7 linked regions of the Kluyveromyces lactis genome follow. The protein of the gene in region 7 binds, or shares a complex with, the protein of the main gene of each other region. Links are inferred from orthologs where the notes say so. Each region holds a gene or a part of one and is shown on either strand. Other genes may lie near its edges. The genes, in order: MRP10, NAM9, MRPS18, RSM24, MRPS5, MRPS17 and MRP51.

Region 1 (3,721 bases), on a different chromosome or scaffold from region 7:
ATGGTAAACGGAATGGTTTTGTTTTGTACCTCTTTTCAATCTTCTTGGCTTATGTGATGAAAATCGTTCAAAGGCAATTCGAGGTTTTATAAACCTTCTTGACACAACTACAATATACTTTGATTCAATTTACCGTAAATGCAGAAGTCTAGGACTTCGCTAAAGATCAGATAGTGTGAACCGATAATACAGATACGTTTTCTGCAATGTTGCAAGACGTTGCCCTGAACTGTTACAACATCGTTCAGTCGTATTTATCGATCGATGCCGAATCTGCCGTAGCCACAACCGGAGATGTAATAAAACAGACTCAAGAATCGATACAGCTGAGTAGACGGTACCTTCTGCAGGATATATTCACTAGATGGGATCCGTTCAATGGCGAGATATCATTTTCATACAACGGTGGCAAGGATTGTCAAGTGTTGCTAATCATATATCTGGGATGTCTATGGGAATTTTTCCTCATGTCAATACAGGGATCACAGTACGATCTCCAGTTCCACATGTTCCCGTTGCAGCAACTACCCACTGTATACATTGATCAAGAGGATACCTTTCTTACGGCACAAGATTTCTTACAACGGAGCGTGGAGCGATATCACTTATCGTTATACGAATCAGCGAAGGATAAACAGGTCGATATGCCAAGTGCCTTCAAGTCGTTCTTATCGGTACATCCAGAGACTCAGGCAATAGTAATCGGCATTAGACACACAGATCCATTTGGGGAGACGTTGCAACCAATTCAAAAGACGGACCCCAGTTGGCCCCAGTTCTACAGGTTGCAACCGTTGCTACATTGGAATCTCTCACAGATATGGAGTTTCCTATTGTATTCGGGAGAAGAAGTATGCGGATTATATGAGATGGGATTCACTTCATTGGGCAGTGTAAACAACACATTGAGAAATCCATACCTACGGATACCAGAACCTATAGGCTCCATGACAAAGGCCGAGACTGAACATAGCGATTTCCAATGGGAAATTGAAAACAATTACAGAGGAGATTCTAACATGCATTGTAACGAAATTAACGAGAATGACCTTAATACCATCAAACAGCATGATTCATCTGAGTTCCATCCGGGATGGTATCTAACGAAAGACGAGTGGGAAAGAGCTGGCAGACTCGCCAGAAAAGTTTGAGATGAATCCACTCACAAATAGCTACAAAAATCTCTATCATATTTAATAAATCGTGAATTCCTTGATTTTAGATGATATATGTAATATTAGAAAATGGTATTATGTACAAGTGATAACGAAGGGGGAGAAAGTCTGTCTGCTTCTTTCTAATCATGAGATTTTCCACCAACTCTATCGTACAATCTAGCAGCATGATAGTTGATATTACTCTTCTGGACTTTTTGGTTCTTACCTAAGGCATTTTCCGCGGTACATGCCTTCAAATCTTGGGCCAATGTCTCACATGCACCGTACATGTGTCCGTTAGAAGACCAGCATTGTAATAGATTGGACATCAATACCAAGCATCTGTTAGCCTCTTGTTGAATAATTGGCTTTTTCACCTTAAGTCTGGGAAGAGGTGGTAATTTATAAAGAGGAGTCTTACTGGACATGCTTTAATATATGAACACTTGATATCTTGGACGTACCCTTCGCAACACGACCTTACAAGACCTCTAGAACGGACTACGCGACTACATTTATGATATTTTCCATCATATAAACGATATCATTCTTTATGATCTTAACAAAATTTTTGAGACTTTCGCCAATGTTGGATCTAAGTATGCGGTGTACGGGTTAAATTTTTCACTTGGGCCTGCCCTGGAAATGATGAGCTGCCGCGACAGAGGGAGAGAGAGCATATGGGTATAAAATAAGAGCTATAGACTATACTGTTGCTTAATTGGCAAGTACGTATACCGCTGATGTTCAGTATTTGGAAAGATCAGGCATGCTTAGGATTTCACGATCCTTGTTCTTACTGAACTCTTGCAATTGTTTTAGAATATTGGAGTTCTTCCATCTGTCAGGAAGAGGTGTAATGGAATAGTTTTCTGTGGCCCAGTAGTAGATATCCCAATCTAGTTCGTTCAACAACTGGTCGTACTCTTCTAGTTGTTCTGGGGTCATTTCCTTTAAATACTTAGCAGCAAAACGTGACAAAAGTAAGTCTGTTTCCAGAATACCTCTCTTTCTGGACTGATAAATTAATCTAGCACGCTTCTTGTCTAGAGACTCGCCGGTTCTCTTGATAGGTGGGATTCTGATTCTCACCGTGACATCGTCATCTTGGCCCTCAGCACCGTTGCTGTTGCCCTTGTTCAACAAGTAAGCATTTGCGTGAAGAGAACGGCATTGCTTTGTAATCGAGTTAACTCCAGATTTCAACACTGATGGTTTGTTGAAGACAGTTCTTAGCATTATTAGATGACAGTGGTCGTTTGTTGACTGGACAGGTAGGGATAGTATAGAGGAGGGTATACTAGATATATGTAATACAAATTAGGACCTCTTCCTAACCTGGGGTAACGGAGGAGAGAGATCAACCAATTCAAATTGTGATTCAATTAATATTATATATAGCAAGACGGGTAAAAAGGTGCCGTAATCGGTTCGGTCACGTGTACATGGACCTAGAACTCCACAGCTTTGCAACGTCGCTATAGGAGGAGACCTTATACTTGGCTCACACTGGGTAAGGTCAGTGAGAGACAGGTAGCCTTTGTGACAGGTGTGTCTAGTACGCTGGGAAGATTACTTCACCAGTTAGGCACGTGATCTGTTCATCGTCGACGTTGTAAGCTCTAGCAATGACAGAGTATTTGCCAGGTGGCACCTCGCTAGGGATCTCCACGATCTTGTTCAACTCGTAGACACCTTCCTCGATTGGACATTTCAATCCGTCGATGTCGTTCTCCTCCAATTGTTCACACAAATCGTAGGTTTGTGAGATTAACTTGATGTAACCTAATCTAACTTCGATGTCGATGTATGCACCTTCTTCGATAGTGGTTTGTAGGACACCTGCAGCAGCTATAGTCAAATTCTCACCTCTTTGTGGTGGGTTGGGGACCAAGTTTACTTGAGTAACATCAAGCGATTGAGATTGGTCAACATCACATTGCAATAAAGGAGAGTCACCAGGGATCGGTTTGTTCGCTGATGGTGGTTCTGGGAAACTTAATCCGAATAAAGAAGCTGCATTAGCGTACGATGCAGCAGCGCATAATAAGTAACTGGTTACAACAGAAAAACGCATCTTGGTGGTTCAATCAGGGTGTTTTAGAGATAAGGGGAGTTTGCTTTAGCTTTTCTTTTTTTTGTTTATGAAGGTTTCAGGACTTGATATAATAACGAGAGGCCTTAGTGAGTCCTTGTAGATATCTTAAAGATCTTGAATTGGTCTATGAGCAGGTATATAACTTGTAAAGGCTGAACTGTTGCTCTTGCTTTATCTTTCTTTCCCTTTCCTTTTTGTTGTTTCCCATGCGTGATGTAAACAAAATGTTTCGAATTCCAACAAACCTTTAAAATTGTGACTTTCTCATCTCGAAGTCTCAGATAAGGTCTAAAGGATAAGGGGTGAACAACGAGCGGCTGAAATACGATTATCAGACTGAGAACTTCGTTATATTTACGGCTGAGAAATACTTATGTTGCTATCTTAGATAGATATATATATATATAGGTTTTTTTTTTGTTTTCAAATGTACATATATTATATCAAGTTGTTTGATAAGTCTTCT
Region 2 (4,950 bases), on a different chromosome or scaffold from region 7:
GAAAGGTTTGACCCCAATTAACGAGAACATCTTCTCTATTGGTGAGTTGAAAGAGGAGAACCGTAACAGTAAGTATTTCGCTCATTTGAATGCTATCTCTGAGGGATCACCACTGTTCTCATGGATTGCTGGATCTACACCTGTGTCTACTATCACTGATTTCAAGGACGCTGCCCAGTTTTGGACAAATAGAATCTTGAAAGAATTCAGAAGCACTGATCCTAAATCCGTTGAATGGGTCCAACAATTTTTGTCCGTTTTCGATAGCTTGAAGCTGTACGTTAAGGAATACCATACCACAGGTGTGACTTGGAACGACACTACTGGTGAGGATTTCGAAACCGTATACGAAAGAGTTTCCAACGAGGGATCCGGAGCTTCTTCTTCTGGTGCTACTTCCAGTGAGCCGCATAGTTCAGGCGCCGGAGCTCCTCCACCTCCACCTCCACCTCCTCCGGCTTCCGTATTCGAAGTCAATGAACAATCAAAAGAACAAGAATCTGGTGGAATCGGTGCTGTGTTTGCTGAGTTAAACCAAGGTGAAAACATCACTAAATCCTTAAAGAAAGTAGAAAAGTCTCAGCAAACACATAAGAACCCAGAACTTCGTGCCTCAGGGAAGGTTTCTGACAAAGCTGTTCCTCCACCTAAACCAAAGAAACCATCTACTCTGAAGACTAAGAAGCCTCCAAGAAAGGAATTGATCGGTAATAAATGGTTTATTGAAAATTATGAAGATGAAGCCGAACCGTTAGTGATCGAAACTAAAATTGACGAATCTGTTTTCATCGGTAAATGTGTCAACACATTGGTACAAATCAAAGGTAAGGTCAACGCAGTTACTGTCAATGAAACAGAAAAATGCAGTTTAGTGCTAGATTCTTCCATCAGTGGTGTGGATATTATTAAATGTTTGAGATTTGGTATTCAAGTGGAAAACACCCTGCCACAAATCACCATCGACGCGTCTGATAGCGGCTCCATTTATTTGAGTAAAAACTCTTTACAGGCTCAAATTTTCACCTCTTCTAGCACTGGTATTAACATCAACACTCCAACTGGTCCCGATGGTGACTTCGTTGAAGTTCCACTTCCAGAACAGATGATACACACTTTCGTCGAAGGTAAACTACAAACCAAGATTTACGAACATGCTGGTTGAATATCTGAATAGTATATCTTCTCGTTACTGGGTGTTAGTTTATTCTTTACTCATTAGAACATATAAATATATATATATAATTAATATAATATGATACGATAAAATAATGATAATAATATGTACAAGGTTTCCAAGATACACCATTCTTTTTAAATTGTCATAGTCACAGTGTATCCATTCTTTCGTGTGTATTTGTTTTCGTCAACTTATTTACCCCTTCTCACATAGTACATGTATGAACGTTCATGTACAGGTAAGCCGAATGGAGTAATAACTTCAGATTGACCTGGACGTGCAACAGGGTCTCTTAAGTAGACCGCATGACATGTCTTGAATGATATTTCCAAATGGTGTGGTAGAATGGCGAATGGTGCTAAGAAGGGTCTTGGTTTCCACGGAGTGAAATATGGTTTAGATGGATCGTTACGACCAAACACACCCTTTTGCCATGGTAAATTGATAGCTTTTTGAGCAGCTGGTTCGTTTTCCAATAGTTCAGGAACATTGATCTTTTGATGCAATGGTAACTTTTCAGCCCACTTAGCATCGTATGGAATATCAACAGAATCAACGGATGCCATCTTGTCATTATAATGTTCTCTGACCACGGTTTCATAGAAATGTCTCAAATCAACTATAGTATGATTGATGGCTCTGAATTTTTTCTTTAAGGCATCGTTTGTGTTATCAACAGGTTTAGTTATTCCTGTAGCCACCTTTAGCAATTCACCTTGTTCATTAGGAATTTCAGCCAAAGGCTTCCCTGCTATCGTTTCCACAGCCTTGGCAGACTTGACTTCTCTATAAATTTCGAATCCTTTAGCTGCCAAATTTTCGTTATTGTAAAATTCGCCCAAGAAATCTTTTACTGCCAATTTTTCTACATCGTTAACGCGGTTAACGGTAGAAAAGATCTTAGCTAACAAATACTCGTTACTGGTTTGGTCTAATTCTTTCCTCATTTGAATGTGCATGGTTTTGTTGTAGTTTTCGAGGAAGGATAAAAATTCCTGTTTCTTTGGATCGTTACTATCCATAGTTCTTAGTTTTTCGATCTTTTCATCCCAGAACTTTCTAGGATTCTTTCTAGCCTCTAGAATATATTTGTTCCATAGGAAAATTTGGGTATTATCCACTTTCAAAGCTTCCTTCAAGCTAGGTTTCTTGGCACCAAGAGCTTGTAGCACTTTTTCGGGTCTGACGTTGAAAACATCACCAGCTTTCAAGGCATATCCCGGAGAAGTAATCTTTACACCATTCACATGGACGTTGCCATGTAAAATAAACTGACGAGCTTGTCTCACTGACGAGGCAAACATAGCTCTAAACAAAGCAAAGTCTAGCCTTTTCTCTAGTACAGCGTATGTTTGTAATAGAATGGGCGTCGGTTCGATATCACCACCCCTTAGAGAAGCATCTAATTGAGCCACAGAGTTTAGCTGAGGCTCGAAAACAGACTGCCACCTACTCTCTGTTAAATGTTCGCCATGGTAGGCACGAGTTTCCTGTTTAGAAGTCCATTTCTGTTGGTATAGTGTTTTCGATCTAAAACTGACCTGAGATTTCTTATACAAGTTGAACAAATTGTACTTGTTAAAAGAGGTACGAACCTTCCCTCTGGACAAAGAGTTCAGAAGTACAGCTTTCCTAGGCATTGCTGGTCTTTTTCTTCACAATGTATTGACAAAACTAACCAGAATTGACTGCTTACGGACTCTTCGAAATGGAAATACATTGCATATCCGAACTACCTGCATAATATTTTTCAATCAAACGCTATCTAATGCTTGAAGCTTTCCGATATTGAAAAATTTTTAGAGGAATTTCGTGACATATGATATCAAATATTAGCATTCATAGTTTAGAAAGATGAGAAACACCATAGAACCATATTGAGATGGACTGGCGAAGATGGTATCAAGCCTCATACGATCTGCTTTATCAGCGATCTTGATAGGAACTTTATTATATCAATTGCAAGAACGTTCTTTTGGTGTATAAGGTTGTGATACTTCAGATAAAAGTAATACGATACGGTTCACTGCGATGTCCGCTGTAAAGATAGAATCACCTAGAGGGCAAACATGGAGTAAAGTGGAGGAAATAAGGCTGTTTAAATGGATGATGCTGTTCAAACCTGCAGGAATACATAAACACTTCCATATGGTGTGTTTGCTTGAGCGATTGAACAAGCCAGATCAGTATCCAATCAAACTTTTGCAAAGCGATAAAGGCAGCTCAGATAAAGTGTTTTCTGGGGAGGACGTTTGGGAACAATTGAGTCGGTACTATAATTTAGAGAAGGCAGATGAAGTAGAGAACCAGCCATACCCTGAATTTTATAATGATGACGGACCAACCGAAACTACAAACAAAAAGACAGAAGGGGACGCTCAACTAGATAATGATGATGACAGTGACAATGATGTTGACAATTGTGACGAGCTTAAGAGAAATATAATACCATTACAAAATAGACTCCAGCAAGAGACGGAATTTGAACTATCGTGGGAAGATTATGGAGAACTTATGTTAGAACATGCTAGGGATCATGAGGTGGAAGATATTAAGCAAGAGGAGACCGCTTCTGCGGATGACAAGGCAAAACTGAAGGGTGCGGAATCACAGGATACGCAAGTAGAACAAGAGTCAGAAGAGCCACGGGAACGAGAAAAGGATATCGATGAAAAGGATACTGAGCAAAATAATGTACAGGCGAAACAAGAAATGGCGACCACTCCGCCAGTCAGTGTTGGAGAATCTGTGAGCGAACTGGCGAATGAACCTGTCGATGAACCTGTCGATGCTCATAAGAAACCAAGGACAAGACGCTCTACAAGGTTGACACGTTCACAAAAGCGAGGCATTGATGACGAAAGTGAAAACAAAGAAGACCAACCCCATGGCGGAAACACCGATGAAAAGGAAGATGTCGAACACGATACAGAAGGGAGATCTGGTAGCGAAAAAGAATCGACTGCTGATGCCGCAGATACTACAGCTACAAAACAAGTCACATTTGCTGATGAATCTGAAGGTGCTGCCAAGGAATCAGCTAATTCGCCGACAGGGAAAGCAGAAGAGAACGAAACGGAATCATCTCAACAGCCGCGCCCTAAGAAACAAAAAGTTGCCGCTGCGGAGGAAGTTCCTGAAGATCTTGCCGACGTGGATTCTCCAGCTAGGAGAACAAGAAGAAAATCCATAACAAAACCAACTACAAGGCTCTCGAGCAGGCTTAGAAGCAGGAAGTAGTTGTTCTTGATTGTTTTTTCAATAATGCAATAACAACATAATATAGCTAATGGTTTATATTATAGGCATTTCGTTGATGTACAAAAATTGAATGTTAAAATGGAAGCATACAAACACTACGGCTACAATTTGATAGCAATTCCCATGTTGAAAGGTTGATGAGAAGGTACGGAAAGATGTAAAGCTATAATAATAATAATGGATGGGACCAATTGGAAGGAATCAAGGGAGAAACCAAAGAAAAAATGTGAAGGAAATTAATAGTATGTGTTTTATTCAGAAGAATGACATTATACATCTAGTTAATCTTCAACAATTCAACATCAAAGACTAAAGTAGCATTTGGTGGGATCAAACCTGGGAAACCACGTGGACCATAAGCGTATGGGCCTGGGATAGTTAGTCTTGCCTTTTCACCAACGGACAACTTTGGAATAGCAGCATCCCAACCCTTGATAACTTGACCTACACCAATGTTACATTGGAATGGAGAACCTCTATCAACGGAAGAATCAAACTTTTGACCGTTTTCC
Region 3 (4,026 bases), on a different chromosome or scaffold from region 7:
CGATGACTTTGTAAGAGTCCAATCTGTTGTAGTGTGGGACAGCCTTGGTAGCGTACTTTGGAGATCTAGCCAACTTCAAGGTCTTTGGCAATCTGAAGGAAGCAGAGGTTCTGACCTTCAAAGCCTTCTTACCATTGGTACCCTTAACAACAGCCTTCTTAGCAGCAGTAGCCTTAGCTGTGGAAAAAATAATAATAGGAAATTTTGTTAGTAAAACTGGATTTAAATGTTGATTGAAGGATAACTAGTTCGATAACGGCATGATTTTCTTCTGTAAAACTAGAGAATTGACTTTAAGTGTATTAAATGTAAGGTGTATTTTATGCTCTGAACGGTACAGGGAAAGCGTCGAGTGGGCCTTTTAACATGTTTTCAAAAAACTTAACTCATAAACACCGATGAACCGTATAACTACGCATCGTAACTTTTCGACGTATCATGATAAAGTATTCCAATTTAAGGATCTAATCGAAATAGTAGTTGTTTAACCATCATTTAAAAGGCTGATAACTCGTACTTTATGTTCTCATTGCAGCGTGTTTGTGTTCATCGTTTCATTTGATGTTCATCCGCTTTCATGACAGGTTCACACATAGGTAATATCATGTACAATTATTCAGATCGTATTGTTGGTTTCTCATTAGCGTACTTATTCTACCATTCGTTTGCTCCCACAGGTGTGTAATTACACTCTCAAGGTAATATCTTCATTCTCACTTGTTCAGCCCGCGGTAAGTCGTTATCCCACCATTATCAGCATGTAGCTTTCAGTTGCGCATCTCAGTAACATACTAGATGGAGCCATTTTTGTGTCTTGGTTGTGTGCGGCCTCTTTGAATGCTAATCAAGTGTACTCTAATACCGAATGATATTGAAATATTCTTTAAAACGTTCAATATTACTTTTGATGAAACAATACAGATACAAGGTCGCAAGCGAAACTGTCCGTAGTCGAAAGGAATATTCAGCACGAACAGGGTATCCCTGGCCAGGTAGCACAATCGCACTGTGATTTGCAGGTACAGGATATGGCTCCAGGCTCAGGGAAGGAATGGATGATAGGCTGGATGGACAGCAGTTCCTGCCTACGCACCTCAGAATGTCAGTGCGAGTAGAGGGGAGAGTGGGCAGAATCAGAGTCCTCTCGCTGGGAAGACTAGACTCGAACGGAGCGACAGAAGGAGAACGGTGAGAACCTGGCAGCCGGAACGCCTCCTCTGCCTTTCCTTTTTTTAGAACCTCCAATTGAAATTTTAATTACCTAAAATGGAATACTAAAATACCTAACAATTTTTACAAAAAATCTAAAGCCAAATCCGTGCATCCACAAAACAGTCCCGCTACTTTCCGGAAAATTTTAAATCTTCGATGAAATTAGCATCCAGAGATTATAAGGCATGAGCAATGTCATAATTGTGTGAAATCATACTTCGAATTGCTGTCTTAATGTATTTAAACGAAAATTCTGGTGCGTTACGTTAAATTTATATACATGCATTATTTGTTATTATACCGAATTATTTTCCAAATTCATGTCTATACACAGAGACTATTAGTGAAAGATGAAATGGTGAGAGACCGAATCACAATCTTCTTGGTCTTGGGGCCTTCACACCACCGAATTTCAATTCAGTAGCATCGGCTACTCTAGATATGTGACGTCTGATGAGGTTTCCTTCCTTACCGTTCAATGCACTGATGAAAGCATCTCTTCCCTTACCGAAGTCTCTCATAACAATTTCTATATTCTTATCCAGTAGCTTCTTCTGATAAAGAGTTTCAAATAACTTAGTTGCTGTTTGGAATGAGGCTTCATATTCACCACGGGCAGCTTTACGGAACCCTAAATGACCAGTAGATAAATGAAATTTGACCTGTTGTGGGAGTTTCAAATAGTATAGATATTTTTCGTTGTAGGATAATTGTGGATTGTTCGCCAAAAAGTTTCTATCCTCCATTACGGCACTGTATGTGAAATGTGTATTGTTCTTAGTGAATCTGCAGTTCAATATATATTTTATCACTGCTTCATCGACTCTCCCTTTCTTATTGCTACCACGAAGAGTATTAGGTTGGACAACATTGGTGTCTTCCATCACTGGAGCCTTTTCTGATCCTTTGACAGATGAAAATAAGATGGAAGCCACATCTTGGTTTGTCCTGGCCGTTGAGCTGAACAGTCTCACTAATGTTCTCAGCATCGTGGTGTATTTTCGACGCCGATTTATATTAACCACAACCTGTGTCTTTCTCGAATGCAGGTCTCCATACTCAGACGAATAGTATTCCTCTATGAAATGCAAACTCTAAATATCTTCTGTTTTCCCAATTCATTTTCAAGATATGCTCATAAACCATTACCCGGTGTTGCATTAACACGTGACTAACTTGTCATTACCCGGTGTATAAGGATTAGCCTTTAATGTGAAGTGCCTGCAGTCCACTGGCGGAAGATATCACGTTGATAAAGAGTGCCGAGATGCGATGGGGTAAACATTTGATAGAAATATTATATGCAGACTGGCGAAGATCACCTCGCATTCCCCAAACCATTTCTACAACTTGATGCTACAATCAAGAGAAAGTTCAGGTGGAGGATATAGGACCTGAACCTGAGTAATTCCTCATTAATGCTATAAATGCCAATTTAACTTCGTTTGTGCATTCATATCTAGAGAGAGTGTAGTACTCTCAGAGTCGAACTTCATAAAAGCTGGCTCTGGGAGATCTTAGAATTAAATTTTGTTTGGAACGTTCCCTCAATTAGAACGTCTTTTATATCGCTTTTATCAATAATTGTGTAACTCAGTCAGTAGTCAGTCAGTCATATTGATATCAGATTCTTGGAAAACCGAATATGAAAATCAATTTTAGTTTTAGGAAATTAGGAAAAAACAAACAAAAAATAAACCAGAACCTTGTTTCAAAGTAACAAATAGGGTCTCTGATAACGGACACAACACTGCTAAGGGTGCTCAAACGTTTAAGTTCTGGGAACTTCTAGTTGTTGAATTTGCCGAGCGATTGCAGCGCGAAGAATTTACTGCGAAGAAACATTATAGACACTGCTGCATCACTTGTTGCAAGGGACTAATTGACTTGCTTGAGTAAGAGTGTTTTCCCCCTGTTGTGTTGCTTTTATTAATATTAGCGATTTCATTTCATCAATTCATTTAATACAGATTTTATTGATTCATTACAATTCAATATTTCCCTTTTTTTCCTGAACCATCCACGTTACATCCGTTAGGAACATATCTATATTCTAAGGTTTGCTTGCAAAATAACGGTTGAAGTTTGTAATTTGAAGACTTGAGCGAAATACAACGAACAAAAAGTGGTAATTTTTTTCTTATTCGATAGATATCGCATCGCTTTTGTATCTGTTACTATCTGTCTTCTTTCCCCTTATTGCGATTCGCCATGTCTATGCAAAGATTAGATGAATACGTGGCTCATGATGTCATCAGTAATAAATCCAATGTCAAGCGAGAAATGCTCGTAAAGGAATATAAGCGAATTGGGCAAGGTGCATTTGGCACGGTGGTGCAAGCTTACCTAACACCGGATAATCAGAAGTGGTTGGGTCCTTTTGCCATTAAGAAGGTTCCTGCTCAGACTGAGTATAAATCTAGAGAGTTAGAGATTTTACGAATTGCGGACCATCCAAATGTTGTCAAATTGGAATATTTCTACACTCATATCTCACCAACAGATCATAAATTATACCAACATTTGGCGATGGAATGCTTGCCCGAAATGCTACAAAACGAAATTTTACGATATAAGAAGAATAACTTGGAGTTACCGTTGAAGCACGTTAAACTATACGCCTACCAAATTGCTAGAGGTATGCTTTACCTACATGCACTAGGAATATGCCATAGAGACATAAAACCTTCAAACGTCTTGGTTGATCCACAAACGGGTATATTGAAGATTTGTGATTTTGGATCAGCGAAAAAGTTAGAATCGAACCAACCATCGATTAGTTACATCTGTTCAAGATATTATAGAGCTCCAGAA
Region 4 (4,346 bases), on a different chromosome or scaffold from region 7:
AGAAAGAATCGAGGCCTTTACTATTTTGACAGAGGCGTTACAGAAGTTAACTTCTTCTACGAATCAATTGAATTCCATTAGTACTGAGCTAACAAACCCTATTGAAGATGAGAAGGAAATTCCCACCACTGACGCAGCTGCAAAGGTTGTCAAGAAGAAGATTCCACGTGATCCTTATGCTCCAAAGAAACCGCTTACCGTCTTCTTTGCATATTCTGCGTATGTTCGTCAAGCTTTGCGTGATGAAAGACAAAGAGCTGGTCTCCCACCATTGTCTTCGACTGAAATCACTCAAGAAATTTCAAAGAAGTGGAAAGACTTAGGAGACTCTGAGAAAGACAAATGGAAACAAGCGTACAACGCAGAACTAGAAAATTATCAAAGGGAAAAACAAAAATACTTGGAAGCTAAGAAAAATGGTACCTTAACATTAAATGAAGGTCCAAATTCTGCCCCTGTTCCACTTCCTGATTACTTGCAATCTGCCGAAGATTTCGGCTTGCCCCATATTGAAAAAAGACCATATGATGAAGATGCTTCCAGTGAAAAGAAAAAGAAGAAAAAGAAGAAGGATAAGGGAAAAGACAAATCTAAGGACTAACGAGCTGGGATTTATATAATGCTTCATACATATATATGATGACACTCTTTCTTTCTTTGTAAAAATAGTTGTAACAATGTGTAATAATATACAAGAAATATAAGAATAATACATTTAATCTGTATGGGATGATCTTCACAGCACAAGCTGCTATAGGAAGCATTGTGGAGTAATTGAAGATTTTCTTTGTGGTATTGTTTCAAATTTTTCATATCACTTCACTTATTTTTATTCTTTCCCAATTGAAATTAATCTTTGATCCTTTAATTTGTAAAACACTTACGTGCAATTCAGTACATGGACCTTATTTTCGTACACACGTTGTTCAAATACTATGCCAAAATAATGAGTGGTATATTTTAATGTCAAGTCAACGTATAACTTATCTACAATGCATCTATGCAGTGCCAAATTTCTTCAAATATTCCGCCGTCAGTTTACTTCTTTGAATTACTCGGTGACAAGTTTGAAAGAATCTCATTTAGCATTGCTGATCAACTAAATCTACAGTTGAAGTAGCTATCATCTTAGATATGTAAGGTTTGTCTTTTCACCCTTTAACGAATAGATGGCTGTTGCTATACAATTAAATTGGTCATTAATTTGTGCGTATATGGCTATTTACAGTTGTTTTTGTGTGTTTTAAAAGGTTGATCAAAGCTGTTTGTGTAATAGCTCAACAAGATCCACTGTTTTCCTTGGAGCATCTTGTGGACGTTTCCACTCTTCTGGGAACTCGTACCCACGCTTTTTCTTACGCAATTGTCTTGCGATGATATGTCTTTTATCGAGAGGAACATCAGCAAAGTCGTCTTTCAAATCTTTAGCCTCCTTGAGTAATTCTAGAAGAATGCTGTTTAAGTACTTTGCATTTTGAGCTGGTTCTTCATAGCGATCAGAAGACATTCTCAAAGTATCTGTAGTAGAATCATAACGTGTTTTTGCCAATAGACGCAGCTTATGCAGTTCCCTCTGTTCCAAGCCGAGATCCGATGTCTTCACAGATAAGACAACCTTACGAGAATTTGGATGTTCTTCACCAAGATATGTTGTATAACGATAAGCTACTGGATGAGTCTTTGTTGAAGGGCGTTTATATTCTTGACGATACTGCGCAAGTAAAGGAAGTTCAAATGCTGCCAAACGATTGTAGAAACGTTGTTCACGATGTTGATGAACTAAAATTTGTGATTGTGATGGCAAATCATCAAACTGATATTGATCCAAGTTGACATGCTCGTCTAGACCTCTTGCAATGCCCATTTCTGCCTCAACTTCTTCAGGTGTCTTATGATAGTACTCTTTGAAAAGTTTTGCTGGAATTCCAGACGCTTCGGCAGTGGGTAACAATGCTTTCAACTCTTCTTCGCAAGGCTTATATAGGGGCCCTAGTCTTGCCTTTCTTTCATTGTGCAACGTTATGATATCTTTACTATCCAAACCGATCCATTTCGATGGATCCTTGTAAAGTGTTGAGGAAATGGTCGCAACTTCTTTCGTAACGGTGGAGTTTAAACGTCTACTACAAAAGAATGCAGTACGTTGCACGCTAGCACCAGTAATCATTGTTGAGTGCCTAAGATGATTACGTTATCGCAGACCTTTTAACACTTTGAATATAATTGGCTTTCTCTGGTTCCGATTGGTGTTGTATCGAGGATTATTGGTATTTCTGGTAAACTTGGAAAATTTTTTGCAGAGAAAAGGCGGAGGTCACGTGATAATAAATTTTCTATGAAAATATCTGTCAAAGTAACGGAAGATAAACAACGAAGCAACAAACAGAACAAAGTCATTAATATTGCCAAAGCTGGAAAGCAGCCTATCTTTTAACGATAGTCAACAGTGGACAAAGGTGGAATCAAGTAGATTGCTAAACCAGATCTTCACTCAGTAAAACACCACTGGTATATTATGTCAAGGAATACGCGAAGAGGCAAAGGAATAAGAGAGCAGAAAAGAGATGACGCTGGGCTACATGAACCGTCGAATATTCTAAATTCGATGCTGAAGTCTTTAGACTTGACTTTTGAGAATGACATAGGTTTACTGAACGGTAAATACGTGAGGTCGGTTCCTGAGAAACCGGTTTTGCAAACAACTAAAGATCAACTAGAAAATCTAGGAAAATGTTTGGAGAAAATTGCAGCTAGTGATCAAGAGAATTTAGACCTAATCAAGGAAATGCGGGAAGATATAATAAGGCTCGAAGATGAGAAACAAAAAGAGAAGGAGGAAGCAGAAGCTGCAACAAACCTTGCAGCCCAGAACGCAGAAAATGATTCAATTAATAAAAAACTTGATGAATCTAGCGAAGTCGTATCGGATAAAAGATCAATTACAGAAGAGAACGAGGAGACAGACAAAAGGCCACAAGATACTATTGAAGAAGCGGAAGTTTTATCATCAGATGGTCACATATCAAAGAAAGCAAAGCTAGATATTGATAAAATGGAAAATGATCCTAACATTAGAAACCCCAAGTCTGAATTTGTAGTATCTCAAACGTTACCTGCTGCTGCAATGAGATTAGGTTTGTTTCAAGAGGAGGGTCTTGAAGCTACTGGTGAGGAATATTTGAAAAAGAAATACGGGGTAGTAAGCTATCCTACAAATGACTTAAAGGAACTTCTACCCGGTGAGCTGCCTGATATGGATTTCTCGAAACCTAAACCCACAAACCAAATTCAGTTTAATACTTTTCTCTCATCCATCGAGGCCTTTTACAGAGAATTCAATGATGACGATATCAAATTCCTTCAAAACAAATTCATCATGCCACAAAATTTGCAGTTTGTGAAATCTTATGACCCCGAAGTGACTCCATACACAATTCCTAAATTAGGACCACTATACACAGACGTGTGGTTGAAAGAAGACAATAATCAAAACATTGCGAATCTGACTCCTCCACCTATCAGTGATCCTATTAGTATCTTGCCTAAGAAATCAGGGAATGACATTTCGGATGGTGTACTTGACAATGAAGAAGTGTCTTGTGGCCCGCTAGTCTCAAGGCTTTTGAGTGCTATACTGAAGGATGATGATATTATAGCTCCTAAGGAAGAATTACCGACAAACCCCACACTCGATTCATCAGTATCAACACCAGTAAGTGAGCTTGAACATGTTACCCCATCATCCTCCTCGTCATACGGGATATTCAAACAACATGGAGCGATTGCAAACAATTCCAATATTGATTATGTTTCTTTTGAGGAACGCTTGAAAAGGGAATTAAAGTATGTTGGTATATATATGAATCTACCGAGAGAAGAAGGAAAAACACGTGAAGACCCGGATTGGTTGACCGGAAGGGAAGATGATGAGATTAGTGCTGAACTAAGAGAGCTGCAGAGTACACTACGTCAAGTGACTACTAAGAATACCAAAAGAAAGGCAATGCTTCTACCGTTATTGGAGAGGATGCTCGCATGGCAAGAGTACTGTACCATATTGGACAATCTTGATAAGCAAGTTGACCAAGCATATATCAAACGTATTCGTGCGCCGAAAAATAAGAAAAAGAGGCAATATACACCTGGGCCGGATTCATTAGCAACCGGATCAACATCTCAGGCAGCTATTCAGGCAGCTCACCAACAAGCCGCTAACTCGAGTCTAAAATCTTTGTTGGATAAGAGACAAAGATGGATAAGCAAGATTGGTCCTTTGTTTGACAAACCGGAAGTCATGAAGCGTATTCCAAGAGATAGCGTATTCAAGGATATAGACCAAGATGAGG
Region 5 (4,387 bases), on a different chromosome or scaffold from region 7:
TGCTTGAATATAATTTATTGGAATTTGAGTATCTCGAATACTAGAAAATTGAAGGAAATGATGGGATCGAGATAGAAATTCCTGAGAATATCAATATGTGTTTCTTTATCACATGAACTTCTTGGCATGTTTTAGCTTTTGCCTCTTTATTTCATCCTGTGACATAGCGGAACCACGACCACGTCTTAGTGCAATGATAAGGAAGATAGATGAAAGCAGAGATAACCCATACCAAGTAATTAAATATTGTAAATGATTATTCTTCAAATCAATCTTTGGTGCTTTACCAATAGGCACTCCCGCTTTAACGAATTGGAACTCGTTAAATTCCAATCCTGTCTCCGAATCTGCTGTATTTACTTTCTTCGTGTTGACGTGTGGTTTCTCGGATTCTTCTTGTTGTGGTTCTGTTTCGGTTTTCTTTTTAGACCAGAATTTCCAAGATGATTGGTTTTTGTTATCGATACCCTCAGATTTTGATTCTTCATCCCAATGGTGATCTTTCAGATCGTAAAGAGCTTGGTAATGAATAGGAGAAGTATGTGTCATCTCTGTCATATCCTTAATATCCAAGACTTGCCACAATCTACTCTCCCTGTCTTCCTTCTTCCATTGCATTGATGTCAAATCTTTAGCTGCACGCACTAACACTGTAATTGTCACGTTATCGCCTTGAGGTAAAGACAAATGTTGCAAGTTACGAGATGATGGAACGATTTTCTCCTCCGAGATCCAACCACGTTCAATCAAAATTCTTTCTCCCGTATCCTTTCTGATGAAAGGCGTATATAAAACGTACCCCTTGATCCCTCCTCTAACACGGGGGCCGACAAAAATCTCTTCATCATGCAAGAATCTACCGGTCATAGTACACTTGCGGTATTCCCAGTCTTCGCACATATCCGGTGTAAACGTTTTAGGTAACGGAATAGGATCGTAGGTTAATTTGTCTTCGCAGGAAGCAATTAGATTGGTTTTCCATTTCAATCTTCTTAATTGCCAGGTTCCTAAGTAGAACGAGATCACGGGCATGGCAATCATCAGTCCTAGAAAAATACGCTTACCCCATCGTGATTCCTTCTTTTGAAATCCTTCAGTAGGTGTCTTCTTTGTTTTGATAGGTTTCCAGTCAACAGTCGATGTCCTGACCGTGCTATAAAGTCGTCTTACCGGCCTTACCTTTGGTACAGTGAATGGCCTAGCCACAATGAAGCGAAACATATGCTTTGCTAATTGTGTGATACTAGTAGCTTCCGCTAAGAATTGAAATGCGTTTGAACAATTAGTAACAGCAAAGAAGTTAAAGCTTTTCTAATCATGTTTATACGCGATTAGATATACTACTCATCTGCTTTCATCATCTTCATTTTCCAATCTTTTAAAGATCAGAAAAGTGTGAAATATTCTAAAAGTCACGTGAAGAAGAATTTGGAACTCCGACGTTGTGGGGATATTAATATGTACAAGGTTACGTAGATCTGAGTATTGATTGTTTTATGAGAATGATCATCTAGGTCGTAATTGAATCATGTGAAGGTTGTTCAGATAGTTTCTTCATAGGAGAAAAAGTGAAAGTAATTTAAATATGGAGTTGGTTGAAATCAAGCAGAGTAATATACCTTCTTGACATCCACAATTTTCTTACCTCTACCTAGAGCAATTTCATCTATAGATTTTTGAGACTTGGTGATAGCGTCTATAGTACCCTTGGCTATGTTCATGATATTTCTACTCTTGTAAACTTTTGCACTTAAATCTTTGATACCAGCACATTCACAAATTTCATAAATTACGTGATTGACTCTTAGACCGAAACCTGGCTTAGCAGCTCTCAAGAATAGTTTCACACCGTGGTATCTATAGTCTATGTCTTCAAAAATAGTTCTTTTTTCAAATCTAGGCACTTCTTTTAAGTTCCTCACTGCATCCCAATGAGCTTTCTTGATGGATTCTGCCATATCTTCACGGGATTTACCCTCACCGATTCCTACCATACCATTCTTATCACCAACAACCACAAGAGAATAGAAGGATGGAATTTTACCTTTTGCAGTTTGATTAGAAACCATCTTTAAGATCAATGGTTTCATCACTAGTTTTCTGGCGATATGTTGAGCATCGAACCCCGTCTGTAGTTGGATATTATTGGCAATGTTTTGTATATCTGATCTGCCTTCAGTTTGTAAGTATGAACCCACAGGAGGAGTCAAATCTGGATGCTTTTCCATCTCTTGAACGAATACCGAAGATGAGCTTGAATGTAGATGTGGAGAGTTTGGTTTATAATCCCAATAAGGATGTAATGTGGCAAAGTTATCCAAATATGGTGGTGAGAATTCAACATTTGTCTGTGGTTTGAACTCTACATTGTCAGGAATTACTTTATCAGCTAAGGAAATAGACTTGAGTAGTTCTGGAGAGTAGTATTTCTTCAACAGGTCTTGTTGAAATACACGAGCAGTGCTCGAGAAACAACGGACGAACATTCTCAAATACGATCAGGGTTATTGAGAAAGACGCTGCAACTCACTATGTTGAATTTTGCTCCTCGACCTGTCTAAACCTGCTTCAAAAGACTTCTGGTGTCAATTATATTAGACCTTATTCTGGTGTATATGTCTGAGTATGTTGCCATTCTGTATTAACTATTGAAATTTTTTTAATTTTTGAAAATCGATCAATCGTTACAAATGAGAGAGCATTATTCTTGATCATGTGATTAGAAATTCACAATTCTTAGCTGAAGATCCACCCACTAAGGTATGGTAAGATTAGCAGTGGTTGCACATCTTTAAAATCTTCTTCAGACGTTCAAAGGAGGATACATGGAGTATGTTTCAGGTATGTTCCACGCATCTTTACCCTTACATGGTAGATGACACTATCATATGGAATGCTATCCGGGTAACATGTTTTTTTGTTTCATTTCTGAGTCTGTTTCATCCAATATTGAGCTCTGTCGCTTAAACAACGACTTACCTGCTTTAATAAAGCCGGTCACTAAAACATCTATATTAGTGGTTTAGTATCGCTATATACAATTTCCAGAGAAGATCTTTTTTCAAAACACTACATATTCTTCTGATACATAGTGGAGCAACATGTTTCAGCTGGCAATGTTATACACGGGCTTTGTTGTCATTAGAATCAATATTAGTACCATATCCTTTCAGTACCTTAAAGATGAAACATTCATATCACGAAGACTCTTCTTTTAGGTATATATTTTACTATGTTTTAAAACCCATTTAGAAAGATTCTTTATCTACAGGAAATAATGAACTAAATACAAATAGTATTTAGTTATGCAGGAACATGAAGACCAATAGAATAAAGATGATCTGGTGTCTTGCCCTGCATGAAGAGAGAGTAATCCCAAAATGCCTGAATTTTTGAAAAACTGCAGATGTTTTCTTTCTCAATTTTGGTCCGAGAATAAATTCATATGAGACATACCAATCCTGTTGGTTCTCTTTCCAAATGAAATCAACTCCACTTATCTGACAAGATTACCATATAAGTTACTCGTTAATTTATATAAAAATATTGGAACGAAATACTCGTTCACATGGATGGAGGTAGAATCTGAAATCAATTCGGAAGAAGTTATGTTTTCTGGAACCAATCCCTAGTGGCAATGCGACATCAATAGTGATTTACTTGTGCGTCATGTGAAAATTCCATGCCGCAGGTAGATTGACAAACTAATGCATTTACTAACGCTACCCAGCAGTGATATACATATGGTAAGAAAGGAAACCACCTGGCCTTGCAAGTTTTCTTTTCCTCTTATTTTTCCTGCCAATACGTGCAGTAGCATTCTCTTAATATTTTCTCTAATGCAGCGTTTTCGTTCTCTGACAAGAAGTAATGGTTCTAGCCAGATCTTCTTCCTCGCATGAAAAATAAAATGCTCGACAGATACCAGAAATGACCGTTCCGATTCCAGAACGTTACACATTCCTCTTCTCCGTCACTTTAAACTTTCATTGTTACCCGAATATTATTATCTAGGTATTTTTTTCAGTGTTATCTGCCGGATTTGAGAAGTACTTGTTGCGAATATACTTTTTGTAATGACAAACAGACGTTGAACAAAGCTGTCTGCTCTTCGCTGTTTAAATTTTATCAATGCGAAAGCATACTCATGATTGATCTGGGATCGTAGTTTGGTTGATTGGTCAAAATTGTAAATTCTACTGTACCCATAAACTATCATATAGTGTGTCGGGTAGCAATTCACGGTGTCAGATTTTTAGGATGAGACTTGGGAGAACACAATTGCTATCAAATCCTTTAACAGTCCTCCTGACCTCCTTTTTATAAACATTCAATGTGTGCTGCACATGTTAATATGCGTTACGCTCAACAATCAAGTAAAGTCAAG
Region 6 (4,050 bases), on a different chromosome or scaffold from region 7:
TGATAATGGAAAATATCAACGACACTTGAAACTTAGCAACAGATCTCATCTCATCTCATCTCATCTCAATCATTTCAGGGAATTCCACACAGCTGCATCTTCCGGTCCTCATCAGCAAGGAAAATACTGGTATCCTGATATTACTAAGTTGATGAATATCAAGCAATTTTTCGTTCCAGCCGGGAAACCTTTATCCGGTTTGGCAGTAGGACTCAGTATCTTTTTAACTGCATTGTTCTTAGTGAACAATCTGGTATACCCTATCAATGAACACCTTCTGCTAAAGCCTGATTCACTATTCAAGTTTGATTTGAACAGAATCTCGTTGTACCCGTTGGCTCATCTCTCATTTTTCCATTTGTTCTTCAATGTCATCTCGACTTTCTCTATGATTGTGATGTTCGAGGAATCCCATGGAACTCTTTACACTGGTGTCATATTGAATCTATTAGCCGTATTTACTGCAATCCCATACTGTTTAATCGGTTCTTTGCTATTCCCCAATGTCGAGATCGGTGGTGCAAGTGGTTGGTTCTTCTCTTTCTTGGGATACTTTGCTGTGAAAGAATCCCGAGTTCGTAACTCAGTGATGATCACCAGTACTTTTTCATTCCCAACATTATACTTCCCAGTAGCATTACTATTCGTTACTGCTCTATTGGCGCCTGGTTCTAGTCTACCAGGTCATGCAATTGGGTTACTATTAGGATACTTCATGGGGTTGAAAGAGAATTGGGTAGCCAAGATTACTCCACCAAGCTTTGTATTGAAGAAAATTGAAACATGGGTCGATCCATTGATCAATCTGATCCCATTCGGTATTAAGTACTATAGGGAAGTTGAAGTGGACAGATCACTTGAATATACTTCCGTTTACCTGGGGTCAGAATCCAGATTGCCCTTGCATAATACGGATACTCCAGCGGAGCCCACATTTCAAGGAAACGGAAGAGTCTTGGGAAATTGAAATGTGAATCCTCAGAAATTAGATACTAGAGATTTAAATCATCTGCTGTTCTTCTTCTTTTTCTTCAAACCCAACTTTTGAAATATTGATAATTATATTTACATGCGTGTTACTTCGATGCGGCGGGGAGAATTATATTCATTCTATATACATAGGGAAACATCCTTTTTAATTATTTTCTGTCATTCCTCTTTTTCTCTCATACGTTGAGTTCCTCGAGTATGTGCTTTCTCAAGATGTTCTTCTTGATATTCTTCTTCAACAGTTGAGGATTCTCCAAACCTTTCGATAGTAAAAATTCATTAGCCAAGGATTCGTTCTTGGTATACTCTGCCAATTTTTCTGTAATAGCATCGATCTTCTGCTGCTGTTGTTTCACTTGGGTTTCAATCTTGAGAATATCCAACTGTAATATTTGCTTCAAGGATTCCGGACTAAACTTATCAATTCCGTAACGGCTCTTAATCTCTTTAACTGCGGCAGAATCCTCGGTACCATCTGTATAAGCCTTCTGTAATACACGAACATCATTCAAAAGTGTCGATTCCACACCCTGTTTACGTTCTCTCCTTTCTAAAAAGGCCTTAGTCTTCTCGTTTTCCTCGCTGGCAACGTTGATCTTGGCCTGTTCTTGGAATAAAGCAAATTGTTGACCTTTATTTCTGATAATTTCAGCAACGGAAAAAAACTTTCTCTTGGACAAAGGTCTCGTAGCTTCAATACGTACTAAATCCCCTTCACGAGAAACCTCAGATTCATCATGAACCAAATAATCCTTCCTATGGAACAACTCTTTGTTGATTCTCTTATCGAAAACTTTGGTCTCAACACGAACTTTCACAGTCTTCTGCATCTTCCCTTGGGAGATGACCATCCCAATAAAATTTTGACGAGCCATGGTTGAAGGTGGGCTAATTTATTCTTGGATAGTGGTATCGACGAACCAATTGACACAGAGCTAACTAGACTGCTCTATTGTTCTTTTAACAGCATCGACCTAACCGTTCATGGCCTCAAGGCTTTAAAATTTTTTGATGTTGGAAAGATCACCACCGTTTCTAATGATAGATCACGTGATTTAGTTCTTCACCAAGAATATGGAGGTATGAGGTTAGTCTTGGGTTTTATAGAACTAAACTACTTCTTAGCACACTTGGCCCAGTTTGAAACGTCCGTGGGTAGATTAGAATGTTATAAGGCAATGTGGGACGCTAAATGTCCCTTTTTCATGTTCCTGTTGCTCTTGAGAATGGCAAACGGCTTAACATTCTGGCCATAAAAATTAAAGGATTGGTCTGTTTTAGAATCTTCACATGACCTTAAATATCGAAACTAACCGAGAGAAGGGGTTTGAAGGGGTCTACGATACCAGAAAGACCAATCAAAACACTGCGATATACATTTAAATTACAGAGGATTTCTATTTCAAAGATTTTTCAAGGAAAACTAGCCATTAATCATGGATTATCGAAATAGTAAAAGGTCCAGTATCTCATTTGGAAGCTATCAAAGGCAACTGAACCTGTTAGACAATGTAGGGAACAACGGAGTTAATTTCTACCAGCGACCAAACCAAGGCCATTCTCAACAGTTACAACATGGGCAGCAACAGCAGCAACAGCAACAGTTGGGACTGGGGAGTGGGAATAGTAACTATACATTGGACAAGCTAAAAACGGTAACGACATGTCAGTACCAGTCCAGCGCTCCACTTTTCGCGCTTTCTTGGAATCAGAACGATCAATGTGCCCTGGGGACATATAAGGAAGATTCCTACAATAGAATAGAGATCATCAACGGATCGAACGATTATTCTACATGGGAATGTACCAACGTTGCTAACGTGGTTTATCCTATATCCAGGATCCAATGGATGCCTCAAAACAATACAAGACTAGCAACATGCTCGGATTCCCTAAGGATATGGTCGTTGGATGGCAGTTTACAGGAACAGATCAACCTTTCTTTATACAAATACGGGAAACACCCTAGTTCTGCGTCTCAAAAGGATACTGTCACGTTGGGCCAACTCCCACCCGTCACATCGTTCCATTGGAGTCCCATCTCCCCTAACCTACTATTATCGTGTAGCATCGACACGACGTGTACCGTATGGGATCTTTCGAACTCTACCAACTACGTAAAGACGCAATTGATTGCACATGATAGCGAAGTGTTCGACGTGAAATTCTTGGCACAATCGACGCAGTTGTTTGCCAGCTGCGGTGGTGATGGATCCGTCAGAGTGTTTGACCTCAGATCACTGGCACACAGTACCATCGTGTACGATCACGGGAACGAGACTTCACGCGGCTCCAGCGGTGGTGGAGCAGCAGCAGCAGATGGTCCAAACAAAAACGCAACCACGAAAGTTACTGCAAATACTGGCAGTACCGCTGGCAGTGCCAGCGGTACTGCCAACACTTCCGCATCAGGTACATCAGGTACCTCGGGCACTAGCACACTCATACCACATGGCAATTCCCAGGATACAGTAGACCAAATGGACCCAGAACCACACTCCAACGCGTTGGTGCGCCTCGAACCAAATCCTTTCGATCCAAACGTCATCGTCACCGTCGCACAGGACAGTAACGCCATCATCGTACTAGACATGAGATACCCTGGAACCCCATTGCTTACCCTCGAGGGCCACATTGGACCTGTTAACCAAGTACAATGGCATCCAAAGAAATCCGGAGTCCTTGTCTCCTGTGGAGACGATTGCCAAGTTCTGTACTGGGATACAAGCGCTCTACTGGGGCAAACCTCGTCCAACACCGCGAGATGGAACAACCAAAACGTCGTACATACTGTAGACACACCACAGATGGCATACACCACGGAAACCGAGGCAAACAACCTGGTCCTCAACCCTTCTGGTACCCATGTAGGTACCGTTAACGGTAAGACCTTCACGGCGATCAACTTGAACACGTGATACGTAAATAATGCTCAGCGTTTTATATAGTACTTTAGTGTAATGAATGAAATCACGTGACATCCTCCCCGATTTCTGACTCTGCTCGACACGTTTTCTGACTTGAAAAGCGCACTTGACCCGAAGATCAGACCCTTCGCCA
Region 7 (4,389 bases):
AACAGATAATGTATCTTTTATTCCATGCCTCTCAGCTCATCTCATCTCGGCAATTTTTTGTTATCAAATAGCTTAATCTGAAAAATTTCAGAAAGTCAAGTTTCAAGCTTTTCTTTATTTGTAAAATATTCCAGAAGATGATTCATTTCTTTATCGTAGTAGATTGACAGAAGCGTAAAGGTATATTGGAAGAAGAAAGAAAGTAACTGGCCTCAACATTAGTTTGTGTACTTATAAGAAGCCTAAAAGTTGCTACCATCGTTCATATTTGGCACATTTTGTAAGAATTCCTCGAGAAAGAACTGTCAACCAAAAATGACTTATCCGGAAAGAAAAGCTTTTGTTTCTAGAATAACGAATGAAACCAAGATTCAAATTGCCATTTCATTGAATGGTGGACCAATTTCTATTGAGAACTCTATTTTACAAAGGGAGGAATCCGATGCTGCTAAGCAGGTAACTGGATCCCAAATCATTGATATTCAGACAGGCGTTGGGTTTTTAGATCACATGATTCATGCTCTTGCGAAGCATTCAGGCTGGTCTTTGATTGTTGAATGTATTGGAGATTTGCATATCGATGACCATCATACCACCGAGGATTGTGGTATTGCTCTTGGCCAAGCCTTTAAGGAAGCTTTGGGTCATGTTCGTGGTGTGAAAAGATTTGGTTCAGGATATGCACCATTAGACGAAGCTTTATCACGTGCTGTTGTGGATCTATCCAATAGACCATACGCAGTAATAGAGTTGGGGTTGAAGAGGGAAAAGATCGGTGACCTTTCATGCGAGATGATACCTCATTTCTTGGAGTCCTTTGCTGAAGCCGCGAGAATAACTTTGCACGTTGATTGTTTGAGAGGCTTTAACGACCATCACAGAAGTGAATCTGCATTCAAAGCACTTGCCATTGCAATCAAAGAGGCTATTTCAAGCAACGGAACCAACGACGTTCCTTCTACTAAGGGTGTTCTAATGTAAAATTCCTTTTCAAGAAAGGAGTGGACTCTCATTGCATATGCGCGACATTCATTTTAAGTTTACATCAAATATATATTCATCCATTTTGTTCCATTTAAGTTACGAGCACGGCCCTTAACCGCTTGACGCACAGCTCCGTCTTCCGCGTAACATGACTGTATTTATTACGTTTTATTTACAAGTGACTTCTAGCTATGGTTGTGTAATACCTACCATATATCAACTTACATGGTTGTCTTTAATAAGTTTAGGAACTCTTCACTTTGAGATCTAGATTCTTCGGCGGTGACAGATCTTACAGTTTTTCTTGAAGAGTTTCTGGAATCGGATCTGGTATAATGTGATCTGCTTTGACCTAAGCCGATCTTCTGAGCAAAACTGAAGTCATTTCTTGGTTCTACTAAAGATGCAGACAATGTTACATTACCCCCTTCTACCTTTGGATCTTCAATGGCAAATGGTAAAACTTCTTGTCTGACAAAATCACCCATGTTGTATTGTAGAGCACGAGGATTACGGCCCACAGATTTAGCTTCAGCGATGAAACCACCAACAGCGACTGCGCGATCAGGTCCCTGGACAGATAAAACTCTGCCTGGCACAACGTGCTTTTGTTTTACACCATTTGGAGATTGTCTAAGTCTACCTTTCAAGTTGTAAGTTAGACCACCGGTGCCCACAATGTGCCACTCCGAGTTAGCTGCTGTATTAATATTCAACTTTCCCATCTTTTCATGTAAGAATTCAGTAGCTAAAGCCTTCAAAGGTCTGGTGTTTTCATTTCTAACACCAGCAATGGAATCCGGGTGTTTCTCTAACAGCCACTTCTTGAATTCTGATCTGTGTTGGTCAATTTCTTTCAACTTTCTTGTCTTTTCAGAAGGCGCAGTGTTATGAGCAATGTTCACAGCATTGCTGAATGGCGCGTATTTTCCGGCCCTCTTGGTTTTCCCATTGAATAGAGGATTGGATTCTTCTTCAACGTAACGAGGGGCTAACCCCATTTCTTGGAATCTGATTCTGTTCCACTGGTATTGACCCATTGGTTCAAAAGTCGTTAGTCTTTGTTGGGTGTCCAAATCGTTGTAAACCAAATATCTGGTCTTGATTTTCGATGGAATGCTTGCCTTCAAACCCCATTCCTGACGATATAAGGAGGATGGCTTGGTCTCAATCACTTGATGAGTTGGATGAGAAGAGTTACCTGGACGAAACAATGGCTTGTCCGTCTTTGCCACTTGTGCTATCCTGGAATTTTTTAACAAATTAGATATATGGGACATAGCTTTCTATTTCGAATTGTGAATTCAGTAAGTATATCTGTCTTCAAGCTAAGGACTAACAGCCCAGTTTAAACCCAAAAAGTGAATTATCTATTCAACGAATTGCTGATAGTTTTGGAACCTTGTCACAATAGTCGACGATAGGAACTAATTTAGCTCTTCAGTCAAAATCAGTAGCTGAGCTGTGTTTAAGATTTATCGAATTGAATGCTATTCAATGATATCGAAATTTTTTTATCATTAGAAACGTAACATTTTACCCGGACTTGCGACAGACCATTGATGAAAGTGTCACATTTAGTACTCATTTTAAAGGAAGAATGGTTTCTTAAGTGATGCTAATATTTAAAACGAGATCAGCACCAGTATAACATAAGTCTTCTATGAGGGGTTTCCCATAATCAGAAATCGGTGTTGAGTTTAAATTTTTTTTTCAATTGCATTATTTATTATATTGTTTACTACAGAAAACTATTCATTTTTTCGTAATAATTTCATATCAACAGTTCCTTGGTTTAGTCGATACTGTATGAGAACCTCAGTTTCGTAGAAATGTTTGTACTACTTGACAAGGTTATCAGATAGTTTCGAGCACATGTCTCCGCTATCCAGAAGCTCAACAAAAACTGATTTTTTTCCAGTAACCTCATCAACACAGTAGATGTCACGATCGGTCTGAATGTCAATCTCAGGTGCTCTAATAAAAGGTTTCCAGTTCCCTGTGTAAGCTTTATGACCAAGGTAAAGTACGATGGTAATTGGAACAGCCATATAATTTTGAAGGAATGAGACGACATTCAGCCTACCGTTGGATTCTAAAGGAAACAATGATACCCAAAATTGTACTATCAAAATAATGGCACAAATAAACAACGAGATGTAACTGCCATATACACCACATGGTGATTGATATCCTAATTGGTCTAAAGCTTGATCTTGATCTTTCATTGCCTTTCTGAATCTCAAATGAGACACACAGGTCATACTCCAAGTAAAGATAGTGGAAAGACCGCTGATTGACAATAACCAAACGAAGACTGTTTCCTGGTCCTTATATTCGGCTATGAATGAAAATAAACCAGTAAATGCTGAAACGCAAAGACATCTAAACGGCTTACCACTTTCATCCAATTTACAAAAATATTTCATCGCAAATCCTTGTTCAGCTAAGGAATGTAATGTTCTTGAGCTACTATACATCGCATTGTTTGCGACAGAAATAATAGACAATAGAATAATTGCATTAACAATATGAGGTATTATCCTAACACCATTGGTTGTTAATGCGACCACATATGGAGATGCATGGGTCAGTTCTGATCCAGACCCCATCAAATATGGGGAATTAAAGGGCACTAATAATCCAATAATCATCAAAGAAACGCAAAAAATGATGGCAATTCGTACAACAACTTGTATTGACGCCCTTTTAATACTTCTTGGCATGTCTTCTGTATTCTGTTCAGCACAACTCAAGGCGACAAACTCGGTACCACCGGTACTAAAGCAGGCAGTTATCAACGTTGCAGCAATTGACTTGAAAAGCCCCTCATCGTTTCTAAAGAACCCTGGACTATGGAAATATTTGAAACCCAAATATCCGCTAGTGCCGACAACACCAGTGTTAACGAAAATACCTAAAATTATGAACCCAAGGATCATAAGCACTTTCAAACAGTTGAAAATGCAATCAGCGTCCGCATAACACCTTGCACCAAAGAAATTCACCCCGCATACCAAGGAATAACATAATGCAACAACGATAGAAGGATTGATATTTTCGTTCCAAAAGTTGATAGTCATAGAAGCGACACATATTTCTAATGGCAAAACGACAGTCCAATTTAGAAAAAATAACCAAGAAATGGTAAAGCCCACAGACGGGTCTATGAAACGCTTTCCATAAGATGTAAACCCACCAGGCATACTTGGAAAAGCAACAACAAGCTCACCAACAGTTTGCATGCAACATGTCAACATAATACCAATAATTAAGTAACCAACTAAAGTACCACCAACCCCCGCAATAGCAATTGATCTACCGTTCCCCACTAATAAACCGGTCCCAATACCTGTTGCAGTAGACATCATGAAAACATGAAACGGTTTAATTGACTGTTTTAAC

The links.
Region 1: MRP51 (region 7) and MRP10 share a complex: the UniProt entries of both Saccharomyces cerevisiae proteins name them as parts of the mitochondrial small ribosomal subunit. The link is inferred for Kluyveromyces lactis from reciprocal best matches to the Saccharomyces cerevisiae genes MRP51 and MRP10.
Region 2: MRP51 (region 7) and NAM9 share a complex: the UniProt entries of both Saccharomyces cerevisiae proteins name them as parts of the mitochondrial small ribosomal subunit. The link is inferred for Kluyveromyces lactis from reciprocal best matches to the Saccharomyces cerevisiae genes MRP51 and NAM9.
Region 3: MRP51 (region 7) and MRPS18 share a complex: the UniProt entries of both Saccharomyces cerevisiae proteins name them as parts of the mitochondrial small ribosomal subunit. The link is inferred for Kluyveromyces lactis from reciprocal best matches to the Saccharomyces cerevisiae genes MRP51 and MRPS18.
Region 4: MRP51 (region 7) and RSM24 share a complex: the UniProt entries of both Saccharomyces cerevisiae proteins name them as parts of the mitochondrial small ribosomal subunit. The link is inferred for Kluyveromyces lactis from reciprocal best matches to the Saccharomyces cerevisiae genes MRP51 and RSM24.
Region 5: MRP51 (region 7) and MRPS5 share a complex: the UniProt entries of both Saccharomyces cerevisiae proteins name them as parts of the mitochondrial small ribosomal subunit. The link is inferred for Kluyveromyces lactis from reciprocal best matches to the Saccharomyces cerevisiae genes MRP51 and MRPS5.
Region 6: MRP51 (region 7) and MRPS17 share a complex: the UniProt entries of both Saccharomyces cerevisiae proteins name them as parts of the mitochondrial small ribosomal subunit. The link is inferred for Kluyveromyces lactis from reciprocal best matches to the Saccharomyces cerevisiae genes MRP51 and MRPS17.

Annotation. Positions count from the first base shown.
Region 1 is NC_006041.1:1,177,314-1,181,034, reverse strand, and holds MRP10 (mitochondrial 37S ribosomal protein mS37), read right to left. Parts: upstream 1,586-3,721; coding exon 1,298-1,585; downstream 1-1,297. Other genes in the region: FAD1 (FMN adenylyltransferase), read left to right, coding at 207-1,151; succinate dehydrogenase assembly factor SDH5, read right to left, coding at 1,905-2,396; NPC2 (sterol transporter), read right to left, coding at 2,713-3,234; SEC21 (coatomer subunit gamma), read right to left, coding at 3,694-3,721. UniProt on the Saccharomyces cerevisiae protein: Component of the mitochondrial ribosome (mitoribosome), a dedicated translation machinery responsible for the synthesis of mitochondrial genome-encoded proteins, including at least some of the essential transmembrane subunits of the mitochondrial respiratory chain.
Region 2 is NC_006037.1:1,005,752-1,010,701, forward strand, and holds NAM9 (mitochondrial 37S ribosomal protein uS4m), read right to left. Parts: upstream 2,818-4,950; coding exon 1,369-2,817; downstream 1-1,368. Other genes in the region: SRV2 (adenylate cyclase-binding protein), read left to right, coding at 1-1,162; EAF7 (Eaf7p), read left to right, coding at 3,209-4,417; peptidylprolyl isomerase FPR1, read right to left, coding at 4,716-4,950. UniProt on the Saccharomyces cerevisiae protein: Component of the mitochondrial ribosome (mitoribosome), a dedicated translation machinery responsible for the synthesis of mitochondrial genome-encoded proteins, including at least some of the essential transmembrane subunits of the mitochondrial respiratory chain.
Region 3 is NC_006041.1:673,185-677,210, reverse strand, and holds MRPS18 (mitochondrial 37S ribosomal protein YmS18), read right to left. Parts: upstream 2,202-4,026; coding exon 1,584-2,201; downstream 1-1,583. Other genes in the region: RPL25 (60S ribosomal protein uL23), read right to left, coding at 1-177, 793-805; serine/threonine/tyrosine protein kinase MCK1, read left to right, coding at 3,424-4,026. UniProt on the Saccharomyces cerevisiae protein: Component of the mitochondrial ribosome (mitoribosome), a dedicated translation machinery responsible for the synthesis of mitochondrial genome-encoded proteins, including at least some of the essential transmembrane subunits of the mitochondrial respiratory chain.
Region 4 is NC_006040.1:1,522,235-1,526,580, forward strand, and holds RSM24 (mitochondrial 37S ribosomal protein mS35), read right to left. Parts: upstream 2,168-4,346; coding exon 1,256-2,167; downstream 1-1,255. Other genes in the region: HMO1 (Hmo1p), read left to right, coding at 1-601; histone acetyltransferase NGG1, read left to right, coding at 2,516-4,346. UniProt on the Saccharomyces cerevisiae protein: Component of the mitochondrial ribosome (mitoribosome), a dedicated translation machinery responsible for the synthesis of mitochondrial genome-encoded proteins, including at least some of the essential transmembrane subunits of the mitochondrial respiratory chain.
Region 5 is NC_006038.1:1,001,207-1,005,593, forward strand, and holds MRPS5 (mitochondrial 37S ribosomal protein uS5m), read right to left. Parts: upstream 2,487-4,387; coding exon 1,602-2,486; downstream 1-1,601. Other genes in the region: cytochrome oxidase assembly protein SHY1, read right to left, coding at 109-1,221. UniProt on the Saccharomyces cerevisiae protein: Component of the mitochondrial ribosome (mitoribosome), a dedicated translation machinery responsible for the synthesis of mitochondrial genome-encoded proteins, including at least some of the essential transmembrane subunits of the mitochondrial respiratory chain.
Region 6 is NC_006040.1:1,090,286-1,094,335, reverse strand, and holds MRPS17 (mitochondrial 37S ribosomal protein uS17m), read right to left. Parts: upstream 1,866-4,050; coding exon 1,167-1,865; downstream 1-1,166. Other genes in the region: putative rhomboid protease RBD2, read left to right, coding at 152-967; KLLA0_D12760g (uncharacterized protein), read left to right, coding at 2,427-3,908. UniProt on the Saccharomyces cerevisiae protein: Component of the mitochondrial ribosome (mitoribosome), a dedicated translation machinery responsible for the synthesis of mitochondrial genome-encoded proteins, including at least some of the essential transmembrane subunits of the mitochondrial respiratory chain.
Region 7 is NC_006042.1:87,947-92,335, forward strand, and holds MRP51 (mitochondrial 37S ribosomal protein bS1m), read right to left. Parts: upstream 2,265-4,389; coding exon 1,206-2,264; downstream 1-1,205. Other genes in the region: imidazoleglycerol-phosphate dehydratase HIS3, read left to right, coding at 316-981; KLLA0_F01012g (uncharacterized protein), read right to left, coding at 2,826-4,389. UniProt on the Saccharomyces cerevisiae protein: Component of the mitochondrial ribosome (mitoribosome), a dedicated translation machinery responsible for the synthesis of mitochondrial genome-encoded proteins, including at least some of the essential transmembrane subunits of the mitochondrial respiratory chain.